Canis lupus familiaris: one gene and its partners. The protein of the gene in region 1 interacts with the protein of each later gene in a pairwise test. Links are inferred from orthologs where the notes say so. Each region holds a gene or a part of one and is shown on either strand. Other genes may lie near its edges. The genes, in order: CREB5, ADAMTSL4, FOSL1, EFEMP2, FOSL2, KIFC3 and SPRED1.

What was found.
Region 2: the proteins of CREB5 (region 1) and ADAMTSL4 interact in binary tests that used the Homo sapiens proteins (3 or more experiments, as listed by UniProt). The two-hybrid records come from large-scale screens. The link is inferred for Canis lupus familiaris from reciprocal best matches to the Homo sapiens genes CREB5 and ADAMTSL4.
Region 3: the proteins of CREB5 (region 1) and FOSL1 interact in binary tests that used the Homo sapiens proteins (3 or more experiments, as listed by UniProt). The two-hybrid records come from large-scale screens. The link is inferred for Canis lupus familiaris from reciprocal best matches to the Homo sapiens genes CREB5 and FOSL1.
Region 4: the proteins of CREB5 (region 1) and EFEMP2 interact in binary tests that used the Homo sapiens proteins (3 or more experiments, as listed by UniProt). The two-hybrid records come from large-scale screens. The link is inferred for Canis lupus familiaris from reciprocal best matches to the Homo sapiens genes CREB5 and EFEMP2.
Region 5: the proteins of CREB5 (region 1) and FOSL2 interact in binary tests that used the Homo sapiens proteins (3 or more experiments, as listed by UniProt). The two-hybrid records come from large-scale screens. The link is inferred for Canis lupus familiaris from reciprocal best matches to the Homo sapiens genes CREB5 and FOSL2.
Region 6: the proteins of CREB5 (region 1) and KIFC3 interact in binary tests that used the Homo sapiens proteins (3 or more experiments, as listed by UniProt). The two-hybrid records come from large-scale screens. The link is inferred for Canis lupus familiaris from reciprocal best matches to the Homo sapiens genes CREB5 and KIFC3.
Region 7: the proteins of CREB5 (region 1) and SPRED1 interact in binary tests that used the Homo sapiens proteins (3 or more experiments, as listed by UniProt). The link is inferred for Canis lupus familiaris from reciprocal best matches to the Homo sapiens genes CREB5 and SPRED1.

Annotation. Positions count from the first base shown.
Region 1 is NC_049235.1:41,626,820-41,631,250, forward strand, and holds the start of CREB5 (cyclic AMP-responsive element-binding protein 5), read left to right. Parts: upstream 1-1,629; 5' UTR 1,630-2,127; coding exon 2,128-2,238; intron 2,239-4,431. UniProt on the Homo sapiens protein: Binds to the cAMP response element and activates transcription.
Region 2 is NC_049238.1:60,400,443-60,404,247, forward strand, and holds part of ADAMTSL4 (ADAMTS-like protein 4), read left to right. Parts: intron 1-107; coding exon 108-280; intron 281-435; coding exon 436-547; intron 548-653; coding exon 654-839; intron 840-1,245; coding exon 1,246-1,375; intron 1,376-1,731; coding exon 1,732-1,936; intron 1,937-2,272; coding exon 2,273-2,449; intron 2,450-2,734; coding exon 2,735-2,941; intron 2,942-3,026; coding exon 3,027-3,206; intron 3,207-3,487; coding exon 3,488-3,632; intron 3,633-3,781; coding exon 3,782-3,805. UniProt on the Homo sapiens protein: Positive regulation of apoptosis. May facilitate FBN1 microfibril biogenesis.
Region 3 is NC_049239.1:51,871,456-51,874,358, forward strand, and holds part of FOSL1 (fos-related antigen 1), read left to right. Parts: intron 1-797; coding exon 798-995; intron 996-2,903.
Region 4 is NC_049239.1:51,889,341-51,893,778, forward strand, and holds the start of EFEMP2 (EGF-containing fibulin-like extracellular matrix protein 2), read left to right. Parts: upstream 1-1,480; 5' UTR 1,481-1,549; intron 1,550-2,356; 5' UTR 2,357-2,416; intron 2,417-2,743; 5' UTR 2,744-2,751; coding exon 2,752-2,862; intron 2,863-3,095; coding exon 3,096-3,144; intron 3,145-3,788; coding exon 3,789-3,995; intron 3,996-4,438. UniProt on the Homo sapiens protein: Plays a crucial role in elastic fiber formation in tissue, and in the formation of ultrastructural connections between elastic laminae and smooth muscle cells in the aorta, therefore participates in terminal differentiation and maturation of smooth muscle cell (SMC) and in the mechanical properties and wall integrity maintenance of the aorta.
Region 5 is NC_049238.1:22,382,687-22,386,491, forward strand, and holds part of FOSL2 (fos-related antigen 2), read left to right. Parts: exon of another isoform or gene 1-320; intron 321-601; coding exon 602-853; intron 854-3,805.
Region 6 is NC_049223.1:57,991,374-57,995,178, forward strand, and holds part of KIFC3 (kinesin-like protein KIFC3), read left to right. Parts: intron 1-41; exon of another isoform or gene 42-314; coding exon of another isoform or gene 315-326; intron 327-1,186; coding exon 1,187-1,252; intron 1,253-1,749; coding exon 1,750-1,893; intron 1,894-2,038; coding exon 2,039-2,278; intron 2,279-2,717; coding exon 2,718-2,891; intron 2,892-3,509; coding exon 3,510-3,657; intron 3,658-3,750; coding exon 3,751-3,805. UniProt on the Homo sapiens protein: Minus-end microtubule-dependent motor protein. Involved in apically targeted transport. Required for zonula adherens maintenance.
Region 7 is NC_049251.1:5,952,378-5,956,182, forward strand, and holds part of SPRED1 (sprouty-related, EVH1 domain-containing protein 1), read left to right. Parts: intron 1-1,287; coding exon 1,288-1,456; intron 1,457-3,805. UniProt on the Homo sapiens protein: Tyrosine kinase substrate that inhibits growth-factor-mediated activation of MAP kinase. Negatively regulates hematopoiesis of bone marrow.

The DNA of each region.
Region 1 (4,431 bases):
CTAAATTTTATGATCGCTAGATTTTGGACTGGTCTACTAATCTCAGGGGTATAAATCTGTATACGCTGAATAGGGGATTGCACAGTATGCTTGGGACAGGGCCCTCCTCTGTGTCCTACATGTGGGAGGCAGTTACTACACCTTTGTGGAATTGGGGAGTAGTTGACCTGAAAGTAGTTTATATCTGTCTCATGCCAAAAAATTTGTTTTTAAATTTGAGAAGGTGCTACACAAAAAGTAAACAAAATGAATGAAAAAAATTCCTATGTTAGGGGACTGGATTTCATGTGGATATGCTTGGATCTTTTACATATGTGCAGAAAAACTTGTTTGCAGGAGACTGGCTTTCAGACAGAGAAACAAAGGGACCATTTCTTCTTGTCCTGGGACTCAGCTAGGTACAACCTAGTCACCTACAAAGATGGGATTGGTGGTACATGGGCTTAGAATTGGATTTGCCCTCTGTCTCAGAACAGAATCTCTGGCCAGCCCAGGTATCTTGGTACCCATGGCAGTAAGTGATCACTGTCTTCATGAGAGATTTGCAGTGGAAACCCAACAGGCAGGGGCAGGGGTTCCCAAAAAACAGGCAGACTAAGACTGCAGAGTGGATGGTAGCTGTTCCATCAGATTTTGTGCCATTGGACAGGACTCCAGGCCTGGGAAGGCGGTGTGGAAGATCATGGCGGGACCCTGGCCTTAAGAGGAAGTGGTGTTACTAATCAGGCAATTAGAACAGGGAGACAGGACCTTGAGAAGAAATCTAAAGTTGGAAATCTTGGTTTCTAGGCATGTAGCAGCCCCGGTATTTAAACTGGGGTGTAGGATTAGGACACATTAACAGCGAGACAAATGAGCCATGCTTAGTTCAAGAGATGGCACCTTAACCCTTGTATCAGGTCGGGCTTAGCTTTCGGTCTTGGGGGGAAGGCCTGAGACTATTTCTTATGTGTTTTATATCTTCTAGCATCTATCAAGATGCCTGACTATGTAGTATTCATTAAGTGAGTATTGCAATGCGGGTGGCATAGATGGTGTTTTGAAAAGAAAAAAAAAAAGCAATGAAAGATTATGTAAAGCTGGATTTAAATTTATAGGAACATTATAAAAAAAATCTTTTACTCCTATTGAGATTGTATAATCCCCAACAGAGGCAGACAGGAAAGGGTAGCATTAGGAGAGGGATCCTGAGTTTATTTTGGAGGCTGGGTAGCCTGGTGGGAAAAGCACATGGGCTGTGGTCTCAGAGTGACCTGGGTTTGAATCTCAACTTTGCTAGGACTAACTGTGTGATCATGGACAATGACTTCACCTCTCGGAGCTCAACTCAGTCACCAGTAAAATATGGATGCTGTTGCATTCCTGGAAGGGATGTTGTGGGAATTCAGTGAGTTAACATATGTTAAATACTTAGGTGTGCCTGAGACCTAGTGGTCACAGGAATAGCAATTCCCATAGAAAGGCCTAAAGGAACCGTGAAGGAGAGAGGCAAGAGGCCTCTCTTGCCTTGCTGTGGGATTTGATGACTCCGGTGGGCCTGGTCCTTATGCTCCCTGAGTGATGCGATTCTTGCTGAGGTAATAATGGGCTGGGTCGATGTCATGCAGATCTGATGACAGGACACCCACACCCTGTCACCCTCCTTGCCAAGATGGGCTGTGCTCATTCAAGCCTCCCCTCCCTTGCTGACTGCTCCATGTGAACACCCCAGTGGAATTGGTCTTTTTTTGGCATCCTGGAAAAATGAGCATGGGTGCCTTGCTGTGGTCACGTTCCTAGAGAGGGAGTCCCTCTCTAGAGCTGGCATTGAGCCACCTCTGCAAACCCCATCCCTCCCATCCCTTGTCCAGGCATGCCATTTTCCTGCTTCCTCAGTCAGAATTTGAGCTTGCAGCTTGATGATACTTTTGTCTGGTTTGGAAGAGGGAGAAAGTACTGAAAATAAGAATTAGGGAAAGGGGACTTTGTTTCCCTCTTGCCAAGGCCCTTAAAGAAGTGAGACTCGTTGTTGGATCGGAGTCATGCCGCACTGGTGTTTCTCATTAGGTTGCCCATAAAGGCAAGGCCCCTGGGTGATTTTAGGTCCTGAAATCTTATCATCACGGGTTGTGTTAAATCCCCTCTTCTATGTTCCCGTCTCTCCATTCCCCACCTTCTCTTTCCAGGCAAAGCAGAGGGCAGGCAGGATACACATTTATGAATGAGCTGACGGATGTGTTCTACAGAAAACATGGCCAGGTAGGAGGGTGGGCTGTCATGGTGGGACATGTATAGTCCAATTTGGGTTTGGTTTGGCACCTCTTTTGGCCAATTCAGTGACCTTGGCTTTGTGGGGTCTTGTGTCATTACCTAATATTTACTGGGTGTTCAGTAGGTTCCTGGCACTGATCAGATACTTTATATATGTTATTTTGCTTAAACCTCATTGCAGTTTTATAAAGTATGTGTCATTATCCCCATTTCATAGATAAGGAAAATGAGCCTCAGAGAAGCAGATTAAGTGGCTCAAATAGCACTTTGAAGATAATGATTTTTCTATAGCTACAGTTTCTCCCACAGATACTGTGTCTTCTCCTGCTCTTGCTCTCAAAAAAACCCCACTGCCTGCTAAAAACAATGTTCCCACTACATTCATGTGACAGATAAAGACATTTGACCTCTCTGTAAAATAATTTGTTCTGCCTATTTCATGGAATTGCTTTGAGGACAAAGAATTTTGAGAAGGATTAAACATTTTACCAAGTAAAGAAATCACACTAATATCATGAAATTTATACACAGATAATGAAGGTTTGCTGGAATAGACAGAAACCAACAAACAAAAAGAGTAAGAGAGGGTAATAAGGAAAAGTTTTACTTGTTAACATGTATGCTTACCCTATCTGATTGCTCCACATGTAAACTTTACAACAACTTGGTAAGGTACACGCTTGTGCTGTTATTACCCCTAATTTACAAAGAGGTTAAGAATATTGCACAAAGTCACCTTGCTGGTAAGTGGCAGAACTGGAATTGAAGACCAGCAGTCAGAACCTGCAGTTTTAATTCTGATGATTCGATGTTCTGCTTTCTAAGGGTTTTCACAGGGGTAAGGGTAGGGGGTTAGGGGACCCATGAGAGAATTAATTTTTCTTTCTTTCTTGGGAGGGAGGACGGGAGGGAGGGAGGGAGGGAGGGAGGGAGGGAGGAGGGAGGGAGGAAGGAAGAGAAGGAAGGAAGGAAGGAACGGAAGGAAGGAGGAGGGGGAGGGTTGGGCGGTAGGGAGGATGGAGGGCGTTAGGGTGGAGTGCTTGAGTGGATGTCGATGGAGGAGGATGGTATTCGTTTGGGGTTTGCTTGATTTTCTTAGTCTTCGTTCTGCGTATTCTATTCTTAGCTTCCGTCCTTCCTTCCTTCCTTCCTTCCTTCCTTCTTCCTCTTCCTTCCTTCCTTCCTTCCTTCCTGATTTTATTCATGAGAGACACAGAGAGAGAGGCAGAGACATAGGCAGAGGGAGAAGCAGGCTCCATGCGGGGAGCCTGATGTGGGACTCGATCCCAGGACCCTGAGATCACAACCTGAGCCAAAGGCAGATGCTCAGCCATTGAGCCACCCAGGTGCCCCCATGAGAGGATTTCTTAACTCATTCTTTCTGGTGGAGTGTCTACCATGGAGGTGGAGACAGCGATGGTGTCCTACCAAAGCACTTGTAGGAATTGGTAATGAATGAGACGGGAGAGTTAAGGAAGAACATGCTCAGGTAGAACCTTATTAAAAGGCTCATACTTTACTCTAGAGGACAATGAAGGGTTGTATGCAGGGAAGTGCCGCTCTCACCATGGAATATTAGAAGCATGGCAGCCATGATGGCCGCAAGGAAGGGCTGGGGCAGGACAGTGAGATGGGCGGGACTGAAGGCCACTGCGTCTGACAGACTGAGCTGTCAGCTCAGCGGGGACAGGCGACTTAGCCTGCGTGAGCCTTGCATTTAAAATGGAGTCTAATGATAACCCCTACCTAGTGGAGTTACCCTGAGGATGAAATGAGAGCTGTTTGGCACAGTAGGTGCCTCATAAAGGTCAGCTATTCATACTGTGAGCTATTCCAAAAGGCCAGTTAAGCCAATGATGGTTTTGTCTGAGATGGTGACGGGGGAGTGGAGAAAAGTGGATAGATTTGGGGCACCTGAGTGGCTCAGTAGTTAAACATGGCCTTCGGCTCAGGTCATGATCCCCAGATTGGGCTCTCCACAGGGAGCCTGCTCCTCCCTCTGCCTGTGTCTCTGCCTCTCTCTGTATCTTTCATGAATAAATGAATAAAACCTTAAAGAAAAAGTGAATAGGGCAGCCCGGTGGCTCAGCGGCCTAGCGCTGCCTTCAGCCCAGGTGTGATCCTGGAGACCCGAGATCGAGTCCCACGTTGGGCTCCCTGCATGGGGCCTGCTTCTCCCTC
Region 2 (3,805 bases), on another chromosome or scaffold:
GAATAGTCAGGGGCTCCTTCCCATGTGGCAGTGGTGTGGAAGCCAAGAGAGTGTGGGGTGCCCGGGGCTCGGCGTGGCTGACCTCTGTCCTGATCTCTGATCGGCAGCCCTTCGAGGCCCTGGGGGCCAGTCCATCATCAACGGAAACTGGGCTGTGGATCCCCCTGGGTCCTACACGGCCAGTGGGACTGTCTTCCTGTACAACCGTCCTTCTCGAGAGGAGGGCAAGGGGGAGAGTCTGTCAGCCCAAGGCCCCACGACCCAGCCTGTGGATGTCTACGTGAGCTTGGGGCCTGGGGAAGCTGGACAGCTGGCAGGGAGGGAGGGAGGGCCTTCCCTCTGGGGCACAGCTGTGGGTCACGAGATGGGGGAGAAGGCTAGCGGTGTGCCCTGGCCGCCCCCACCCCGGACAACTCCTCCCAACTCTCTCTCCAGGTGATCTTTCAGGAGGAAAACCCAGGCATTTTTTACCAGTACATCGTCTCTTTGCCTCCTGCAAACCCTGAGAGCACCACCCCAGAGCCCCCCAGCCCCCAGCTGCAGCCAGGTGAGGCTCTGCTCCCCTCACCTAGGGGGCGGGGAGGGACTGGAAGGGGAGCTGTGAGGCAGTGGGCTGTATCTGATCTGCCTGCGTGACTGACCACCCTACACAGAGATCCTGAGGGTGGAGCCCCCACCCATGTCAGTGCCCCGGCCGGCCCGGACCCCAGGCACCCTCCAGCGCCAGGTGCGGATCCCCCAGGTGCGCCCTCCTCCGCTGCCCAGGACACCCCTGGGGTCTCAGACTGGGTACTGGAAGCGAATGGGACACTCAGAGTGCTCGGCCTCTTGTGGAAAAGGTGAGACTTGGGATCCCTGGGTGGCGCAGCGGTTTGGCGCCTGCCTTTGGCCCAGGGCGCGATCCTGGAGACCCGGGATCGAATCCCACGTCGGGCTCCCGGTGCATGGAGTCTGCTTCTCCCTCTGCCTATGTCTCTGCCTCTCTCTCTCTCTCTGTGTGACTATCATAAATAAATGAAAAAAAAATTAAAAAAAAAAAAAAAAGAAAAGGTGAAACTTGATGCACTAGGCCTGTATTCCTGGCACCTTTAGACTAAGACCCTGACAGGGCACTCCTGACCCCACACCCTGGATTGAGGATCCATACCTTGACTCTGTGTGAAGATGAATTCCAGTGTCTGGAGCTGCACGGACGCTGGGCTCTGGGCCATCCTGCCTCCCCTGGCTTCCCTGTCATCTCTTCAGGTGTTTGGCGCCCCATTTTCCTCTGCATTTCTCGTGAGTCAGGGGAGGAACTGGACGAACACAGCTGTGCCATGGGTGCCAGGCCCCCGACCCCCCTGGAGCCCTGCCATGGTCCCCCATGCCCGCCCTAGTGAGTATGACCCACAGGGAGGGCTGGGGTCCTAGGAGCACAACAGTTGTCCCCGGCAGACGCATTCACACCGCCTTAGCGTATTGCCCTGGACTCTGCACCCAACACACTAGGCCTCCTGGCTGCAGAGACCCAGTGTTTGATTGGAAAGGCTCACGCTCCCTGGACAGGAGGAGAACCCTGGCAGCCCGAGCCCCACAAGGGAAATTGGGCTCCAAGTGATGAAGACACCCGCCCTGCCCTGCAGGGTTTCCCTCCCCCAGGACTGTCATCCCTTGCCCCACCCATGGCAGCCCTGCACACCTGTGTTTTCTTTATCCATGTCTCTGCTTCTTTCTTGCCCTGTTACCCCACAGCTGGGAGGCTGGTGAGTGGACGTCCTGTAGCCGCTCCTGTGGCCCCGGCACCCAGCATCGCCAGCTGCGCTGCCGGCAAGAATTTGGTGGGGGTGGCTCCTCTGTGCCTCTAGAGCGCTGTGCACATCTCCCTCGGCCCAATGTCACCCAGACCTGTCAACTGCGCCTCTGTGGCCACTGGGAAGTTCGCTCCCCCTGGAGCCAGGTGAGTGGGGCCCGGCAAGGGAGCTGCCAGGGTGGGAAGGACCCTAGGTGGACGGGTGCCAGTGAGCTAGAGCAGTGGTTTTCCTGATCCTTTTTAACTGGCAGAAGCTTTTTAATGACAAGACCTGAGCGTGTGAAACCCCAGCATATAAGTCAGATGAGACCCTGAACCGGGGATTGGGGGCCCAGAGCCACCTGTCGAGTCTGCCCCTCAGCCCATACAGCCCTATAGGTGCTGAGTTAGGGAAGAAGGCAGGTCCTGGTTGCAAGGCCCTGGAGCCCGAGGCTGGAGGCCCAGAGGCCCGGAGGCTGGGCTCTCACGAGCTCTCCTCCCCAGTGCTCAGTGCGGTGCGGGCGGGGCCAGAGGAGCCGGCAAGTTCGCTGCGTGGGAAACAACGGCCATGAAGTGAGCGAGACGGAGTGTGCGTCAGGCCCTCCGCGGCCCCCCAGCAGAGAGGCCTGTGACATGGGGCCCTGTACCACAGCTTGGTTCCACAGCGACTGGAGCTCCAAGGTGGGCCCCACAGCCCTTACCCGAGTCATGCATCCCTGGTGCCCACACCCAGGACCTTTCCAACACATTTTGGTCCACATTTACTGAACAAGCCCTGGTATGTGCTAGATGTTGCTGATGCTGGGATTCCGAGTTAAGTGAGAAGAACTCACGTTAGGGTCCCGGACTCCCATTACAGGTTCTTCTTACCTGGGTGGTACCCGGGGCACTCCCCAACTCAGGGGATCCAGGACGGGCCCCCCTCAACCCCTTTTCCTCCTCCCCTACCCATCACCTTCTCAACAGTGCTCAGCCAATTGTGGGACTGGAATCCAGCGACGGTCTGTGGTCTGCCTTGGGAGTGGGGAGACCCAGGGGCTGGGCCAGGAGGAAGCAGGGGCAGGGCCCAGCAAGCAGAGCTGTGCACCGGGAAGCCGTCCCCCAGACATGCGTGCCTGTAGCTTGGGACCCTGTGAGATGACGTGGTGCTGGTACACGGGGCCCTGGGCCGAGGTGAGCCAAGAGCTTGGAAGGGGGCTGGCAGGAGTGATCCCTGTTCTCCCTTCCCCTTGCACACCCTGCCCTTCCTCTGTATCAGTGCTCCTCAGAATGCGGTTCTGGCACGCAGCGTAGAGACATCATTTGTGTGTCCAAACTGGGAACTGAGTTCAACGTGACTTCCCCCAGCAACTGTTCCCACCTGCCCAGGCCCCCTGCCCTGCAGCCCTGTCAGGGGCAGGACTGCCAGGACCGATGGTTTTCTACTCCTTGGAGTCCGGTGAGTGCCTGACTCCCCTGTCTTGTTGAGCTTCTAAGGAAAGTTTGGAGGCTCCACTCCTGGTATCCCCATTGTGTCCCAGCATGAGGCCAGCTGCAGCTGGTTTATTATTGCCCCACTTCCTGTATACATGGAGGACAAGTGGGCCCTGTCAATGTGGGATTGCATAATGTTCCTGGTGAACCCCCCCCCCCAACTACTTTCAGAGAAGGAGGTGGCCTGAGGTTCAGGAGGAACCTGGGTCACAGCAGAGGTCTGATTTGATAGCGGGGTCTCCGCAGTGTTCTCGCTCCTGCCAGGGCGGTATTCAGACCAGGGAGGTCCAGTGCCTGACCGCCAACCAGACTGTCAGCATCCGATGCCCTCCTCACCTTCGGCCCTCCAGGAAACGACCTTGTAACAGCCAACCGTGCAACCAGCGCCCCGGTAAAGAGCCTTTTCCCCCCTAATCCCCAGTACAGTAGAGTTAACTGAAGTATGGGGGAGAGGAAGGAGAAAGCAGCAGCGAGAGTGGACAGTGCACCTCCAGAGGGAAGGGTCTGGGTGACACGCCCCCTGGCCTCCTCTGTCCCCAGATGATCAATGCAAGGACAGCTCTC
Region 3 (2,903 bases), on another chromosome or scaffold:
CAGAATCGAAGAATTCATTGATTTGAAAACCCACACCATTGTTTTATGTCACTAAATTTTCTTAAAGTTGCCAATCCAACTATGATTTAGAGCTATTAAAAGGCATTTCTTAGCATCAATGAAATGCCATAATCCTCACTTAACACCAGTATTAAAAACAAGGAAACCCAGGCACATTGAGGTTAAATAACTTGCCCAGAGTCATGGCCAGTAAGTGGCTGAGCTAAGAGCTAACTGGGACAGCCTAAACCCAGGGCAGTGGTTCTTGCCACCACAGCCTCTGTGCATTGGACACCTGCCACTTACGAGGCACTGTCACACACTGGATTCTCACAGCCACCCCTGGAGTTAGGAGCTGGAATTTTTCTATGCAGATGGGACTCAGGCAGAGTACAGGAGTAGCTGAGAGCCTAGGTGCCAGGGCCAAACTCCACTTCCTACTTACTGGCTATGGACCTATGGACAACTGTTTTTCTGTCTGAAAATGAAGACACTGTTGTGCAAATTATGAGTCAGTATTTGTAAAGTGGTTGGGACAGTGCCTGGAATTCATATGTTATATGTATTAGTTCTGACAGGGAAATGAAGGCACAGCAAGGTTATGAGACTTGCCCAAAGTCACATAGCTCCCAAGCAGGGATTTGTCACCAAGTTAGTCTCTCTGTCAAGTTGTGCTCTTTCTGGTCATACGGAACGAGCAGCTGCATTGACGGTGGATGAAATTGTGGCTTCTGTCCTGTTGAAGCCCCTCAATCTACACAGACTTCATCCTTGGCTTTCCATTTCTTATGCCTCAGAAGTTCCACCTCGTGCCAAGCATCAATGCTGTGAGTGGCAGCCAGGACCTGCAGTGGATGGTGCAACCCCACTTCCTGGGACCCAGCAGCTACCCCAGGCCTCTGACCTACCCCCAGTACAGCCCCCCACAGCCCCGGCCAGGAGTCATCCGGGTCCTAGGACCACCTCCAGGGGTACGTCGCCGACCCTGTGAACAGGTAAGTAGCAAAGGCATTGCACTGGTTCTGATGCCCATAGGGGTGCTGAGGTGCAGAGGACAAGTTCTTGGCCAAAAGAACACAGGCAAGGCAGCCTGGGTGGCTCAGCAGTTTAGCACTGCCTTCAGCCCAGGGCATGATCCTGGAGACCCATGATCGAGTCCCATGTTGGGCTCCCTGCATGGAACCTGCTTCTCCCTCTGCCTGTGTCTCTGCCTCTCTCTCTTTCTCATGAATAAGTAAATAAAATCTAAAAAACAAACAAAAAACAAACAAACAAACAAACAAAAAACAGACTTAGAAAGGGAGTGCTGGGGAAGAAGAGCCACTGATGACTCCTGGCCAAAGCTGAGAGTAATAGGAGCCCTTGGGGTGATCCAGAGGGCAAGAGGTGATTCTAGGCTAGGGAAAGCTTTCTGAAGCTGGAGGTATATTAGCCCAGAAGGATGGGTAGGATCTTCATAGATAGAGATGAAAGAAAAGACATTTCAGGGAGAGAGGATGGCAGGAACAAGAATGGAGGTGGACATGAGAACGTGTAAGGTGTACATGTGGAAAGGTGGATGGATGGTAGAGGGTATCCCTGCTGAGATGTATGCTGTCTATGTGCTGGGAGGGAACAGAAAGGGGAGGGTTCCCTGTAGCTACTCTCTGGGGCTGTTTCCCTATCTCATTTAATCTTTACAAATAGCCTCTAGGGATGCACTCTGGTTTTCTCCACTTTACAGCTGGGAAATGAAGGCACAGAGGTAGTCACTTGCCCAGATTACACAAGTAGTGAGTAATGAGACAGGTCTTTTCAATTCTAAAGTGAGATCCTAACCATCAAGCCACACTATCTCATCCAGAGCTAACAGAGGCTCGAAGCAGAGTGAGTTGGGAACTCTTGACTCCCCAACCAGGGCTCCTGCCTTCACACTAAAAAAAAAAAAAAAAAAAATCTTTACCAACATAAATAAGAGATAGAGGGTCTTTAAGGGAGTTGCTCCTCTTTCATTTTGGTTTATGAGACTGTACTGGAGTGAGACTTACTCATTAAGGAGCTTGCCCTGACAGCAGGGTAGATGAGAAGTCAGGATCTTGCAAAGATGAACAGTTAGACAGGAGTGGCTTTCCCAGAAACAGCAGGATTGGCAGTGTGACCAACTGCAGAAGAGGACCATGCTGTGAGGTCCCAGAGGCAGGCTCCTGGACTTCTTTAGCCCTGACCTGAGGGTGGCTATTTGTTTCTGGGACTCCTAGACAGGGGCTATGAGCTCTAAGTAGGGTTCTTTGTGGGGGGCTGGTCCCCATCAGCAGGCCTCTCAATATTGAATAGAGTGAGTGGATTTTAATTTCTGCTCTGGGACCATAAAGGAGTTATCTATCCTCTCTGGGCTTCAGTTCCTTATATGGAAAGTTGGGAAAAAAAAAAAAAAGGAAAGTTGGGTAAATAATCTGTGTAAAGCTCTTAGCCGGCATGTAATAGGTTCCTAATAAAAAACAACTTACTAAATAAATAAATAAATAAAAATTAAAAAATAAAAAACGTACTCAGCAGCAACACTCATTAACTCCTCTTAGTGCTTACAAACCCCTGGGGAAGAGGACACTTGGGTGGCTCAGTGGTTGAGTGTCTGCCTTGGGCTTGCTGGTGATCCCAGGGTCCTGGGATTGAGTTCCGCATCAGGCGCCCCGCGGGGAGCCTATGTCTCTATGTCTCTGACTCTCTGTGAGTGTCTCATGAACAAATAAAATCTTTTTTTTTTAAGGGGGGGTGGAGAATGAGGGTCCTTCGAGAAAGAGCAGCTGGGTCCCAGAGGCTCAGAGTAATAAAGGCTGCTTCTGGCTGGGCAACGAGAGGAGGCTCCCTGTAAGAGTGGGGGTATCTTGGTTGAGTCCTGAGAGATGAGGGGGGTAAAGGTTTAC
Region 4 (4,438 bases), on another chromosome or scaffold:
TGGCTGTGCCTGGACAAATCTCAGGCACACTCTCATCAGTGAAATAGGATGATACAAGTACCCCTTCCCTTGCAGGAGGATTGCATGAAGTGCATGCTGGTGGCTGGGAAGTTTATATCTTGAAATTTAAGAACTCTTATTATTCTTAAAAACAACTTTATTGAGTCATAGTTAACATTCCATAAAATTCAGCCTTTTAAAGTATTTAATTCAGGGGATCCCTGGGTGGTTCAGCAGTTTAGCGCCTGCCTTTGGCCCAGGGCGTGATCCTGGATTCCCAGGATCGAGTCCCACGTCCGGCTCCCTGCATGGAACCTGCTTCTCCCTCTGCCTGTGTCTCTGCCTCTCTCTCTCAAATAAATAAAATCTTAAAATATATATATACAATTCACTGGATGCCTGGCTGGTTCAGTCAGAAGAGCACAGGACTCTTGATCTTGAGGTTATAAGTTCGAGCCCTATACTGGGTGTAGAGATTACTTGAATAAATAAATTTTTAAAAAAACTTTATATAATTCAATGGTTTTAGTGTACTTGCTTAACTGAGTAATCATCACCACCATCTGATTTCAGAATATTTTCATACCCCCAAAAGAAACCATGTCAGCAGTCCCCCCTTCCCTTGGCAAACATGAATTTGTCTCCTAGATTTGCCTAATTCTAGATGTGTCGTATTAGTGGAATATGAGGATGTATGTCTGGCTTCTTTCACTTAGGGTAATACTTTCAAGATTCTTCCTTGGTTTTAGCACACACATCAGTACTTCCTTTTTATGACTGAGTGACATTTCATCATATTACCACATTTTGTTTATCCATTCATCAATTAATGAACATTAGATTGTTTCTACATTTTGGATCTTATGAATAACATTGCTATGAATGTTGTGTATAGGTCTTTTTGTATGGACATGTTTTCAATTCCCTTGGGCATGTACATGGGGGTGAAATTTCTGGGTCATGTAACATTCTGAGGTCCTGCCACACCGTTTCCCAAAGAGGACCATCTTAAATTCCCACCTGCAGTGCAGGAAGATTCCAATTTCTCCATTTCCTCACCAACACTTGTTAATGCCTGTCTTTTTGGTTTAGAAGAGCTATTCTTTTTAGCATCCTCGCCCCCGTGGATGTGAAGGATCTGGGGGGTGGAGGGGTGCACTCTCCAAGTCACCTTGAACCCCAAGGGCTGACCTGCGGACCCATTTGCCCCCGTCAGCACACCCTCCCCCTGGGCGGGGCTGCACTGGGGGCGATCGTGAGGCTAAACCCCGGGTGGGAAGGGGAAGGGAGGGCTCAGCGATTCCCGCACTTCGTCTGCCCCCCGGCGGGAGATCCCTGGACACGCGGCCTTTTCCCGTCTGGTCCCGCCCTGAAACGTGGGCAGGAGGAGGCCCCGCCCCTTCCTGGGAGCCAACTCCGCCCAATCTCCTCCCCGAAAGGCGCGCCCTCGCCCTCGGCTCCCGAAAGGAGGCTGGAACCCCGAGGTTGGGGGTGGGGACGCGTTGGGAAGGAGAGCGGCTGGGGCACTGGCACCCGACCCTGGCGTCCGGTACGCGCCAGTTCAGCCCTGCCTGCCTTCTCAGGGGCTTCCATTCATTCTGGGCCAAAAGGCAACTGCAGACCCCGCTCCCAAACCGTTGTGGTTTCGCAGAACGATTGTTGGGAGGAGGCCGTCCAGGAGAGGAGGGACCACCTGCGGCTGACAGCCCTAGGGATGGAGGAGAGAAGGGGCGCACCTGAACTGTTCTGGGCCTGGGAGCGTCTCGTCCTCGGGCGAGGGTCTGGGGCCCCCGAATGAAATTTTGGTGTTCCCAGTATGACTGTACAAGGTGCACAGAGTAAAGGTCTGCAGGGCATAGAGCGAGGGTCTGGAAGCCCCAGGATTAGATGGGGTCCAGGAACCGAGGATGACATTCTGGGAGGCGCAGAGTGTGAAGGCCCAGGCGTTAATTTGTGGGTGCGCAGGGCGGAATTCCAGGAGCCCAGATTTGTAGGGTCCAGGTGCGCAGGGTGACATAGTGGGGTGCACAAAGTGAGGGCCCAGAGGCTCTCGGGTGAGTTTGGGGGCCTGACATCAAGGCCATACACCCGGGATGGGGATCTAGGGGGACCCTGGCCCTGCGCCAGGAGGCGGCTCCGGGCAGCGCCGCGGGGGACCGGGTGGGGGCCTGTGGCTGGCCGGGGGCGGAGAAGCGGGGGGTCGGGGTCCCTCCCCCTGGCGCGGGCTCAGGAATCCGCCGAGGGGCGGGCGGAGGCGCCGGGGTGGGCCGCGCCGCGGCGGGCGGGCGAGCGGGGGGCGCTTCCTGGGGCCGCGCGTCCAGGGAGCTGCGCCGTCCGCCCGTCCGTCTGCCCGCAGGCACTGCCCGAACCAGCCGAGCCGCCGGAGACGCGGGCCGCGGGGGCGTCACGGGCTCAAGTGAGTGGCGGTCGGTGTGGGGAGGGCGCGAGCCGGAGTCTCGGCCGAGTCGGCGTCAGCGCAGAGCCGAGAGGCCCGCGCTCCTCGGCCCGCGCCACTGGGGGACCGGGCGGGGGCGGGGCGGCCCCGGGCGGGTGGGCCCCGAACCCCGGCCTGAGGGTGGAGTGGGCCCTGGGTCCTGGGAAGCTCCGGGGCCCCAGGCACGGTACGGAGCGGGGGGCGGCTGGGGCCAGGGTTCTGAGTTCTGGTACAGGGAATGGGGGTGGGGGTGCGTGGCGGAAGCGCCCTGACCCCCCTTCCCTCCACTACCCCTCCGCCACCTCCCAGCCCCCAGGATGCTCCCCTTCGCCTCCTGCCTCCCCGGGTCTCTACTGCTCTGGGCGCTGCTGCTGTTGCTTTTGGGAGCAGCGTCTCCCCAGGATTCGGAGGAGCCCGACAGCTACACGGTGGGGACAGTGGGGCCACTGGCCTGGGCCGGGCTGGGTTGGGACACAGAGATCAGGATCCTGGGGTGGCTGCTGCTGGGGGAGATTGTCCCCTCCCCTGATTGGTGTAGGAAGCAGCTGGGGGCCATTGTTTGGAGCAGGCTGGGAGGGTGGCCAGACTCAGGCCCTGATCTTGGCCTGGTCATCTGAAGGGGACTGGGGATGACTACTGGTCATCTCTGGTCCCTTTGTAGGAATGCACAGATGGCTATGAGTGGGACCCCGACAGCCAGCACTGCCGGGGTGAGTGTGCCCAGGGAACTGGGGAACTGACCCACCCCCAGGAACTGGGAAAGGGATTGCAAGCTCAGCTCCAAGAGCAGCATCAGGGAGCCCGATGACCTGTCCTCTGCCCAGCTTGGCTTGGCGGAGGCCAGCTCTGATTCTCTGGGGGCCAGCTCAGCTAGGGGTGGAGAAGCCATGCAGGCCCCTCCCTCTCAGAGAAGCCCGGGACATCCTGTCCCCACCACTCAGTGGGCAGGAGAGCAGCAGGGCACTGCCCAGAGGAGCTGGGTCTTGGATACCTCGAACTACTCTCCCGTCTGGCTTTGCCCCATCACGTCCTGGGAGGACAGTGTCTGCGGGGTGGGTAGGGAGGCCTGCCCGTCACTCTTGGGCTGAGCCAGGGCCCAGGCTATGGGGAGGGGTAGAGAGCCTCTTGGGGACAAGAGAATGGGGCTGACTATGGGAATAGCCCCCTGCCCCACCATTTGCCCAGGCAGGCCTTGAGGAGGGGTTCTGAGCAGGGAACCTTAGCTTGTTGAGTCGAGAGAGGAGGCCCTGCCTGGGTCACACAGCTTATAGAAGGCCGGGCTGGGCTCCCACCTGCCACCCACTTCACAGCCAGCCCAGGAGACCGGCTGTGCCCAGCAGACCCCTCTCTGCAGATGTCAACGAGTGCCTGACCATCCCCGAGGCCTGCAAGGGAGAGATGAAATGCATCAACCACTATGGGGGCTACTTGTGCCTGCCCCGCTCAGCCGCTGTCATCAATGATCTGCATGGCGAGGGACCACCACCACCAGTGCCCCCTGCTGAATACCCCAACCCCTGCCTACCAGGCTATGAACCTGACGAGCAAGAGCGCTGTGTGGGTGAGTGAGGGTCACCTTGGCACTAGGGCTTTCAGTCCACCTACTAAGCATCTATCACTGCAACTTAAAAACTCGGACCTCAATTGCTCTCTTGCTCAAAAGCCTCTTCAGAGCTATTGGGATTGCCATCCAGATCCTCACTCTGTGAGGTGCCTGCCACAGGTGGCCCCAGCTCTGGTCTCAGTGCTCTAGCCAGCATCTGGATCCCCCTCTCAGCTGCTAGAGACACACTGCAAGGGCAGGCAAGAGCTCTGCCTCTTAGCTTCTGCCCTCTACCCACTTCCCACCTGTGGGTGCCATGGTCCTTGGAGGAAGGCCCTGGAATCGGTGTTCCTGGGAGTCTGGGCAGGGCCTTATTTCCTATGCATCTCTGGTAGGGTATCTCACAGATCAAGGGTGCCTTTCCTGTTGGCTCCCAGGCTGATGGGCTGTTATTGTGCTGT
Region 5 (3,805 bases), on another chromosome or scaffold:
CTGCAGTATGTTCCGGAGAGTTCTGCAACATGATCTGGGCATAAGTTGAGAGACAGGAGAAAACTCTGAGCTAGCAGCACTGATGTTTCCCACAGACACATCTATGAACACAGATATGTAGGTAGAGAGAGCGTGTGTCTACTCTAAGCAACATGGTGGTCAAGGGCCGGGAGGAGGACAAGGACTTAGAGGGAAATCTGGCCACAAATGCTACCACTTTTCAGTCTCATGAGTTGAAAGGCAGCTTTTTGTGGACCTGGCCTCACCCTGGATCGGGTCACAGCTCCATCCTACACCTATTTGGGAAGTAACAAAAGCAGGTATAATAAGCTTCCTGGTGATCTTCGTTGTCCCAAAGCTGTAATATGATTACATCCTCATGAGCCACCTGGAAATGGGGTCCCGAGGCCCTCAGGGGAACAGATTTGACATGGGGCCTCAGGAATAGTTAAGATCCCGCTCATTCTTGCATGTCCAGGGAAGCCCACCCAGTGTTCTGAGCTTGGCCCCACAGGCACTGACTCTGCTCTCCCTCCTGGCTCTGCTTGTCCTCTTCTGCGGGGTACTTACTGACTCAATACTCTGTTTCTCCTCATTTCAGAAATTTCGGGTAGATATGCCTGGCTCAGGCAGCGCCTTCATCCCCACCATCAACGCTATCACGACCAGCCAGGACCTGCAGTGGATGGTGCAGCCCACAGTGATCACCTCCATGTCCAACCCGTACCCCCGCTCACACCCCTACAGCCCCCTGCCGGGCCTGGCCTCTGTCCCCGGGCACATGGCACTCCCAAGACCCGGCGTGATCAAGACCATTGGCACCACCGTGGGCCGCAGGAGGAGAGATGAGCAGGTACAGCTCAGGTCAGGGTGAAGGAGCCACCTCGGTGGCTTTCAGAGCCTCATAACATGGAGTGTCTTTCCGTGTACCGGTGAGGGGCTGAGGCAGTGTCCTGGGAGCACTGAGGACAAGAGGGAGCTCGGGACTGGGGGCCCGTGACCCTCATTGTTGGAAGCAGAGCTGGAGGCCCAAGACTCAGGCCTGGCTCTGTCATCTTGCTCATGTCCCTTAGCATCCCAGAGTCTCAGCTTCCTCAGTTGCAAAATGGGGATAATGGTACCTGCCAGACAGGACTTACTACCACGCGGATGAGATCACATGTGGGAACACACACTGTATGTGGTAAGGTGTCAGCAGATGGGAAGGATTGTTAGGGCCTGCCTACAGCTGTGTCCTTCCCTGATCCGTGGCAGAGGGGCTGCAGGCCAAGCGGCCAACCAAATTCTGGCCGGGAGCTCTGGTGGATTGGTCCTTAATTGTCACCTGGTATCTGTGCAGGTGAAACACTCCGCAGACCCAAAGGGTCACCCTCCAGGCCCACCGTCCTTGGCATTCCTGCTTGGTTTCCTAGGCCTCTGGCTTGGAGCAGGATCCCATTTTGAATACTTGGAATGCCCGTCCTAGAAGTGCAGTAACTCAGGGGTCTTTGGAGTCTGCTCAGCTGCTTCAGCTAACAGCGTGTGATGGGGGGCAGGTCAGACATCAGCTTTGTCCTCCCCTCAAAGGGCTCCGCTCTGAGAAAGAGTCAGCCTGGCAGGGAGGGACACCAGAAAGCTGCTCTCTAGATACTGTCTACATACTCAAAAGCATGTCATCTGTGTCAGTAGTGAGCCAAGATAACGACAGGCCCCCTGATTCCCAAAAGCGGAAATCAGAGTCCTGCATAATAAGAGGGGATGAGCCTTCAAAAAGCTGCCTCTGTCGTCCTTCACAGATGATGCAACCAGAGCCTAGACAAACCTGCCTGGGGCCACTTGGCAAGAGAGTGAGGAAGTCTGGACCCAGTTCCCTGGACTCTCTGTGCGGTGCTCTTTCTACAGTACCATGCCCCCATGGATCCAGGGAAGGGAAAATACTTTAGCAGTAGGATCCCTCTTTGAAATGAAATATTAGCCTGGAAAATCACTCTTATCAGTTACCACCATCCACTTGCATTCTGGGATCCCAGGTCCACAGTTTCCCAATACAAAAACCTTTTGCACATGGGCTGCTGTGGAGAATCATGGATCCAGGGCCAAGAGTCCCCAGGGTGCTTAAGATGACAAGGGTTCCTACTCTGAGGAACTGGAAGCATTCACAGGATCTCCATTCCTCTGAGGACAAAGCTGGGCCTTGCATCCCCTACACACTGGTTTATTCTGTTAATGGCAGGACCCCACAGGGTGATGTGGAGAGTTGTGGACACTCTAATAGTTGCTGCTTGCAGTTGCTGGGCTTCTGCTCCTGCGGCAAGTGGCCGATATCCCCCTCTCCCCCACTGTTACTTTCCAGAATTGTAGTTGTCAACATTGCAGTAATGGTAATCATACTGTCCTTTATAAAATATGCTTCCTTCAGGAGCCCAAGGTGTCAAGCTTTACAGTCACTGATGAGCTGGTACCATGTTATGGAAGTGACCCCTAGGTGAGAGCCAGTTTTGTGAGGGACTTTCGAGCTAGCAGGACAAAACGTACGATGTGCTGAACATTCTCCATTCCTTTCTGGGCCAAGCTCACACTAAATTTAGAAGCTTGCATCCGGATGGGACTTAGGAGACCAGCTTTTCCAATTTCCCCTCTGTACCCATTTTACAGATGAGGACACAGAGGTCTGGAAAGGAGAAGGGTCCCGTCTAGGGTGACACCGTGAGTTAGTGGCAGAGCCGGGGCTGGGATCCACCTCCTCTGACCTTCAGCCCTGTGGTTTTCCCAGCATACCACCTAGGCGTGCCTTAAGACAATCTGTCTGGAGAATTTCCTTCCTTTTCTGAGAGGGAGGGAGAGAGCCAGGAGCATTTTATCCCACATCACTTAGGAATTCAGACAATCATCCAGCAGCTCACAGGAGACCTGGGCAGTAGCATCCTGGAACCTTGGCTCTTTGGGTTCCTAGCCTGAGGGTCTTCCTCTGAAGCAGACTTCCGCCTTCCTGACCTCTGCCAGGGAGAGGAGCCTGTTACCCAGAGCCAGCATGGTGCCTCGCTAGCCTCCTCAGAGCTTGCCCAGAGGCTCCTCTGAGGCCAGTGGTGGTGACTGAGAGGGTGGGGAGCAGAGAGTGTGTGGCTTGTGGGTAGGTACGTGGTGGCACTGACACACTAGAGTTGTAACTCTGTTGGTGTCACCACCCCTCAACACTTCCTATGCTGACAGCTCCCGCTAGCTGCCTCATATCTTACAGATAGGGGAGAGACTTCTAGGCTAATCAGGAGGCCAGAAGTTGTCCGGAAGCTGCCAAGGGGGAAGGGAAGCTAAAATGTACTACAACCATCTCTTCATCTTTTCTGCCCATCGTCAGTGAAGGATGAGGGGCTTTTCTGGGCCTCAAGGGGAGCCCTGGTAGACCTTTGAGTAGAGAACCCAGGACTGCTCAAATGCAGGACTGCAGCAGGGCCAGCAGGCTCTCTTGGTAACTGTTGGGCTCAGGTTGAGACAGGTTTAGGAGGAGCAAGTACTGAGGACCTCAGCCAGGTGGCCTCATGACCTCAGCTGGGCAGCCAACCCACACACAGAGCAAAAGGTATCCAAGTGGGTGAACTCTGGATCTCCAGTTCATCTGGACTCTTTCAGGGCTCTGAGAAAGCATCGGCAAAGGGACCTCTGATTTATATCTTTTCCCTTCCAGCACTTTCTAGTAGAAAGGGCTTTCACACTGCATCTCATCTAATCAAGACAGAAACTTTTTGGAAGATAGGACAGGTCCTAGCAATCCCATATTTTTTTTTTTAAGATTTTATTTATTTATTTATTTTATTTATTTTTTTTTAAT
Region 6 (3,805 bases), on another chromosome or scaffold:
GGGAGATTTGACACACCCCAACACCCCCACAGCTGTCCTTTCTTGAAAGGACAGAAGTCTGGAGACATGGGCCTGTGTGCTCCCAGCCACGGCCTGCAGGGAGGGCGCTGAGCTTGTCTTCTCAGGGTGGACGCTGGGCATCCAGTCCTGTGCTGCCCCTCACCTGCCTTCCTACTGGTCTGGCCTCTGCAGGCAGCAGACTTTGTTGCTGTTGCTTCCTAATAAGACCCAATGCTTCGTGGCCTGCTTGGGTCAAACCCACCTCCTAGGTCCCCACAGAGAGAGTCTGACTCTCACTGGGCTTTCTCAAGGTGATGTACAGTCAGGTACGGTCATCACAGAATGTTCTGTGACAAAACCCCTAAATATGCACTGATGACATTGGTGCCAAAGTCTTCGGTTGCATTTTGGGTTATTTCCCAAGAGGTTCCTGGAGGGGGGCTGGTGCAGAATTGGGGTCTGGAGTCTGCAGGGAGGGTGGCCAGCTGGAGGACAACTCTAGGGGAGGGTTGTTACCCTGGGATGTACACTCTCAGAACTGGCATCCTGGTGGCTTCCTCTGGCTCTGGCTGAGCCAAGCCACCCTTGCTTCCTGATGGGGTGCACACACCCTTCTCTGATGGTCCCAGCTGTCCAGCAAGGCAGACAGGGACCTGGGGGGTGGGGGGACACAGGTCCAAGACATGCCCTGGTTGCTGGTAGACCTGTCTCTATAGGCAGACTTGCCAGGCACCACTGGAATGGAAAAATCTAGGTTCTGGGCAAGGACCAATCAGGTTTCATTGTGTCTGGAGTTTATACAATTTGGGAGCCCTTTTATGAAAAGGGAATATAAAATTACAAGTATGTAGACACAGGCTGTGGCAAGGGACTGTGCAAGGTGGGGGTCCTGAAGGTCAGCCTCCTGAGTCTGCCAGGGAGCTGCCTCTGGTGTGGGCACAGAGTGGTATAGAGGTCACCTCTGCTGTGCTTGCTCCCCAGACTTTGCTGAGAGCGGGACTACCTGGGTCTTGTGGTAGGAGAGGGTGCTGAAGGCCGTTGGGACAGGGCAGGTGTCTCTCACCCAGAGTCCTGGGTGTGCCCTGATGCTTGAACTGAGGGAGCATGCGGGGCTGAGAAATGAGGCCTGAGCGTGGGCCAGAAGTGAGGAACAAGGCTCACCGTGACTGTGGCTTTGTGCTGGCAGGTGGAAAACCTGAAGGAGAAGCTCATTAGCCAGGCCCAGGAAGTGAGCCGCCTTCGATCAGAGCTGGTGAGGCTCCACACTGCCATCCTAAGGTGGGGGCTGCAGGGGGGCTGGCCTGGCCTTGTGCAGACTGACCCTTCCATTTGAGGTGTGGGACCCCATCCCTCCAGAGCCCTCGAGTCCAGCCCAGCAGATGCCATTGGGCCTGAGAGATGCTCCCCAAATACTTGTCACCACTCACTAGGCCTTCAGAGGTCGTGTGACCCCCAAAGGGAGGGAGGTTAATTCTCATCTGCCGATGTAAAACAGGAGTGTGAACTCTGTGTATAAATATGACTTTCTTGTTACTTTCACACTCGGGAAAATAGCATGAGAGGGGCGGGTAAGGCCATCCCCCCGGCTCCCCTTCCTTCCTCTGTCTTCTCCTTATGTCCCCCTTGAGCTGTCTCCCCTCCCTCTCCTGCTTCTCTCTCCTCTGCGCTGGTGCCCCCTCGGCCTCCCTGCTCTCTGCTCCCGGGGCCTGGCCTTGCCACATGCATGCCCTGTGCTCTGGCTCCGTGCAGGGAGGCACGGACCTGGAGAAGCACCGGGATCTCCTGGTAGTGGAGAATGAGCGGCTGAGGCAGGAGATGCGGCGCTTCGAGGCCGAGTTACAAGAGCTACGGGCAAAGCCGGTGGCCCCCTGCGCGGGCTGCGAACACAGCCAGGTGAGCACAGAGCCACCTGCTCCCAGAGGGCTCGGTCCCTAACGGTGACCCCGGCTCCTCTCCTTGCAGGGAGCCCTGCATGCTGGTACCCCCCCCCATCTGTTACACACTTGTCCCCACCCCGCTCCCAACCACCTGTCTGCAGGAGAGTGCCCAGCTCCGGGACAAGCTGTCACAGCTACAGCTGGAGGTGGCGGAGAACAAGGGCATGCTGTCGGAGCTGAACCTGGAGGTGCAGCAGAAGACCGACCGGCTGGCCGAGGTCGAGCTGCGGCTCAAGGACTGCCTGGCCGAGAAGGCACAGGAAGAGGAGCGGCTGAGCCGGCGCCTGCGAGACAGCCACGAGACCATCGCCAGCCTGCGGGCCCAGTCGCCACCCATCAAGGTGAGCCTCTGGCGCTGGTGGCCACGTGCAATGTCCTTGCTTTCTTGGCTGCACCCCAGTCTTACCCCTTCCCCCTCTTGCTGTCCAGGGCCAGACATGTAGTAGGCATCTGGCAGCCGAGGCTCAAGGCGCCCACACGTGCCAGGCATGCCTGTGGTACATGGCAAGATTCTGCTGTCGTCTTTGCCCTTCCTGTCTGTTCTGTGCCCAGGCTGGGGTCACAGCCAGGCTCTTGGGCTTACTGAGATGAGAGGATGCCCGGAGGCCCTGCAGCATCCTGTAAAGCCAGGACCTTGAAGTTCCTCTAGTTTTTTCTGGGGGCTTTTGGTGGGATGTCCCTGAGGGTCCTCTCCCAAGGCCAGCTGCGTCTCAGGGCCCCCCCGGGGGTGAGGTCGAGGCACCTGCACCTTCAGGCGCCCATCCCTCCTCCCCCTCACAGTACGTCATCAAGACCGTGGAGGTGGAGTCATCCAAGACCAAGCAGGCCCTCAGCGAGTCCCAGGCCCGGAACCAGCACCTGCAGGAGCAGGTGGCCATGCAGAGGCAGGTGCTGAAGGAGATGGAGCAGCAGCTGCAGAGCTCTCACCAGCTGACGGCGCAGCTCCGGGCGCAGGTGCGCAGGCTGCCAGGGCACACGCACGGGGCTGTGGGAGAGCATGCACACGCGGTGGGAAAGCCAGAGGTGGGCCTGCAGCACAGCGCGGCGGTTCAGTACTGGGGGGCCCATGGAGCTGGGTTCCAGCCCCCCCACCCTGCTCTCCCTGTTGGCTGTGTGACCAGCGCCAAGTTTTATCTACGCCTCTGTTTCCTCGTCCATAAAATGATGTGCTCATAGAAGCTACCTCCCTGTGGAACTCAGAATAGTTGCCAAGAGTCCTTGCCTGCAGGCCGGGCACACAGGCTCTTGGAAAGGGGCCTTGGTCACTATTATGACATAATATGCTCTGCTGGGGCCTGTGGCTTGTGTATGTGTTATGTGTCAGGACCCAGGCTGGTGCTGGGGCTAATGCAACAAAGTAGCTGCATGGAGCTCACAGAACTTTCCAGGAGTGAGATGGCCTCTCCTGTGTGTGTGTGTGTGTGTGTGTGTGTGTGTGAGACTGTATGTGTGCATGTGGAGGTGGATGCTGTTTGCTCCTGTACATGTGTGGGGTAAGGCATAGGGCTTCTTTCTGGCACCCACCCCACTCCCTCCTGAGCCCCACGTTGAGCTTCTGGCCTTGGCCGTCAGATCGCCATGTACGAGTCAGAGCTGGAGCGGGCACATGGGCAGATGCTGGAGGAGATGCAGTCCCTGGAGGAGGACAAGAACCGGGCCATTGAGGAGGCCTTTGCCAGAGCCCAGGTGGAGATGAAGGCCGTGCACGAGAACCTGGCAGGTGAGCCAGCCAACTGGGCCCTTGCCCGCACCCCCCCACCCCCTCACTGCGGCCCCCCACCCTATCCACCTTACACCTCTTATGTCCCCAAAGGTGTCCGGACCAACCTGCTAACCCTCCAGCCGGCGCTGCGGACCCTCACCAATGA
Region 7 (3,805 bases), on another chromosome or scaffold:
TTCTTTAATCTTTTTTACCCCTGTTCTTCAGACTCAGTAATGTCTGTTGTCTGTTTTCAAGTACATAGATCTTTTTCTGCCTGTTCAAATCTGCTTTAAATCTTGTAATTTTTTTTTTCATTTATTATGCTTTAAAGCTCCAGAATTTCTTTTTAGATTTTGTCTCTTTATTGATACTTTAGTTTGTACATCATTTTCTTGACTTTCTCCTTAGGACAGTTTTGTGGGATTTTTTTTTAGCCTTTGCCTAATCTGCCGTAAGGCCTTTTTTAGGGACAGTTTCTGTTGATTTTCTTTTTTTCTTACAATGGGAAAAGGAAAAAATGAATTTACTGTTTCTTTGTGTGCCTTAAGTTTTTTTTTGTTGAACACTGAACGTTAAATCAAATAGTGTGCTAACTCTGGAAATCAGATTGTCAGGTTGTCCCTTCTGTAAGATTTTATTTATTTTTTTAATCGTTGTAGGTTGTCTCTATGCTGAGGATCTGCCTAACGTATAAATTTAGATCTTCTCATGTCTTTTCTGAGTATTTCCCTGGGTATGAATAGTCAGTTTCTAATTTTCCCCATGAATGTAATTTTGTTTGAATGTCCTGGTCTTTAATGTCTAGCACCCCAAATGGGAAAAAATAAATGATAGGTAAAAAAAGGATGCTGATCCTTTAAATAACCTAGACATCTCTTGATTCTGTTGAGGAGGGACTTGAAACAGTAAGGGAAGATATAACAACTATGGCTATCCCCTTCTTTGCACCTATCTGATCAGAGTTAGTCATCAGTAATCAGAGCACAGATCCCTGATATGTGGAGGACAGGGTTCTTTTTACCCACCCTGGCTCCTGTGATTTATGTGCAGGGTGCTCCAGGAATATGTTGTGCATATCTTCCTGCCATGGGAAATGGGTAGTTGCTATTGTACTAATGCAGAGATTGACCAAAGTTAACCCCAGTTTGCTGTCCACGTCTTCCCTTGGGAGTTCAAACCTTCAACAGACTTCAGATTTCCAACATAGTTACATCAGACAGATTCTGCCAATGTAATTATTGTCTAAGTGGGGAGAAAGTTTCCTTCATACTTTGTCATCTTCCAGAATCCTCTTTAATCCCATTTTGATTTCTGTATTGAGTGACTTTATGAAGTAGATTAACTAGCAAGACCTCTGTATTAATAGAAGGGGGAAATGCATTTACTAAAATAGCTCTTATTCTCACCTCCATTTGTATTTAAGAGCTACATTAGATTATGTGATATAAGTATAGTAATCTTTGGCATTTAACTCTTGGCAGGTGGTTTTGGAATGTATGCTTAAAAAAGACCTCATTTACAATAAGGTCACTCCAACATTTCACCACTGGAAGATTGATGACAAGAAATTTGGCCTTACCTTTCAAAGTCCTGCTGATGCTAGGGCTTTTGATAGAGGCATTCGAAGAGCTATAGAAGATATTTCTCAAGGTAGGTTTTCTTAACTGCTTTCTTAATTTGTTTAACCTATATGGTAGAGTAGAGTGACTTTAAGCAAGACAGCTTTTGTGATTTATGTAATTAGCTTTGAAAACTCACTCTAGGCAAAGATAAAATCATGCTTTTTTAAAATCCATTTTATATTTGTCACATCATAATATATACCACTTACATGTATTACCTCAAACTCATCAGTACAGACTTCAGATGATTCCAATGGTTCTAAGTAACAGCATGAAGAAGAGGGAGCGGTCAGAACTTTGAAAATCTTTGTGTGTTGTTATATCAATTATATCCTTGTTTTGGTAATAAAAAAGAAAAATTTAAATAATCAAAAACAGGTGACCCTTAAACAACATTGTTTTAAACTGTGCCAGTCTACTATATGTGGATTTTTTTTTTTTTTTACAGTGCAGTACTATAAATGTATTTTCCTTATGATTTGCTTGGTAATGTTTTCTTTTCTCTATTTTATTCTTAAGAATACAGTATATAATACATATGATACCCAAAATATGTGTTAATTGTATATATTACTGATAATGCTTCAGTGGACAGTAGATTATTTAGTGTTTGGGAAACCAAAAGTTATGTGTGGATTTTCAGCTGCATTTGGGCGGGGCAGGGGTGGGTGTTCCTAACACCTGCATTGTTCAAGGTTCAATTGAATTGGGTTATTAGAAATTTTCTCTTTTTCATATGTAGACTCTATTTTTTCCTATGGCGAACCCTTTCTTGAAACTCTTAGCTTTTTACCTGGTTTCATTTTTTTTTTTTTTCTGGTTTCATTATTGAGGATTGGCAGAGACCACAGCCCCATCTACCTCTTTGTATATTTTGCCAGTCTGTTAAGATTATTAACTCTAAAGCTTGCAGGTTTTAAAAGGAAGAAGAATGTATTTACGTGTAAGACTGGCCTCTGCTTAATTAAGCAAAAAGAAGCACTTTAAGGCCCATTTCTTTCCCACAACGAGGTTATAATTAAGGCTTGATTTGTTTTTCTAATTAAGAAGGAAAATTGTCTCTATAAATAGAAATAACCTTCTTATAAAGTAATAATCAAAATATATTAGCATTGTGATTTGTATATTTTGAAGATATTTTAATAGGAAAGTTAGAAGAAATGAATGAACTATGAGACTGGCAATAGGCAAGAACATGGAAAGGCTTAGTATAAATCTGTACTGCTGGTGCATGAACCTGTGCTTAAATAATCTATTTATCTATTTTCAGGGATTAATGATTGGTAAACAAAGTGATTTACAGTTTAGAAAAATTCCATGGAATAGTAGCAGTCATTTTAGCTTTATGACAGGAACCTATAAGTTCTTTCTAGATTGTTCTCATTGTTTGCTATACATTTCAGTCACCTGGGACACTTTGGAAAATAGAAAAACTGGTCCCCACTCCAGACTAGTCAAGTCTGTCTATCTAGGGAGGGGAGCTGGGGCTTTCCTTTCTTTTCTTTTCTTTTCTTTTCTTTTCTTTTCTTTTCTTTTCTTTTCTTTTCTTTTCTTTTCTTTCTTTCTTCTTTCTTTCACGTTCCTATCTATTTCAGATGTGATGGAAAATTGCAAAATGATAATATAATGAATTTGGGGGGGGGGGGGAAGTTCCTGAGATTCTCCAGTAGTGGTGTGGTTCTCAAACCACTGCAAGAAATAAAAAATATGTGATGTCCTATGCCTTGCCTCATCCCAGATTCTGACAATACCAGTTTGAGAATATACTATGGTACCAGTATATTTTCTAAAAGTTTGCCAGTTGACTCTGATATTTAGGTAGTGTCCAAGATCCAGTACTTTAAAAAGACAATCATTATCTGTGGCTGCTAGAATTTTTAACTTATTTTTACCTTTTTTAATTAAGCTTTTTATCTTCACTCCAATGTAGTTAACACACAGTGTTGCATTAATTTCAGGTGTATGACATAGTGATTGAACCATACTATGCTTAGTGCTCCTCATGATAAGTGTATTCTTAATCCTCTTCACCTATTTCATCCATCCCCCAAGCACCTCCCCTCTGGTAACAATCAGTTTGTTCTTTATAATTAAAAGTCTGATTCTTGGTTTGTGTGTGTGTCTCTTTCTTTTTTCCTTTGCTCATTTGTTTTGTTTCTTAAATTCTGTGTATGAATGAAGACGTGGTATCTATCATTCTCTAACTGACTTTGCTTAGCATTATGCTCTCTGGCTCCATCCATGTTATGCAAATTTTTTATGGCTGAATAGTATTCCAGTGTGTGTGTGTGTTTGTGTGTGTGTATGTATACCACCTCTTTTTTTATCTATTCATCCATCATTGGACACTTGGGGTGCTTCCATAATTTGGCTATTA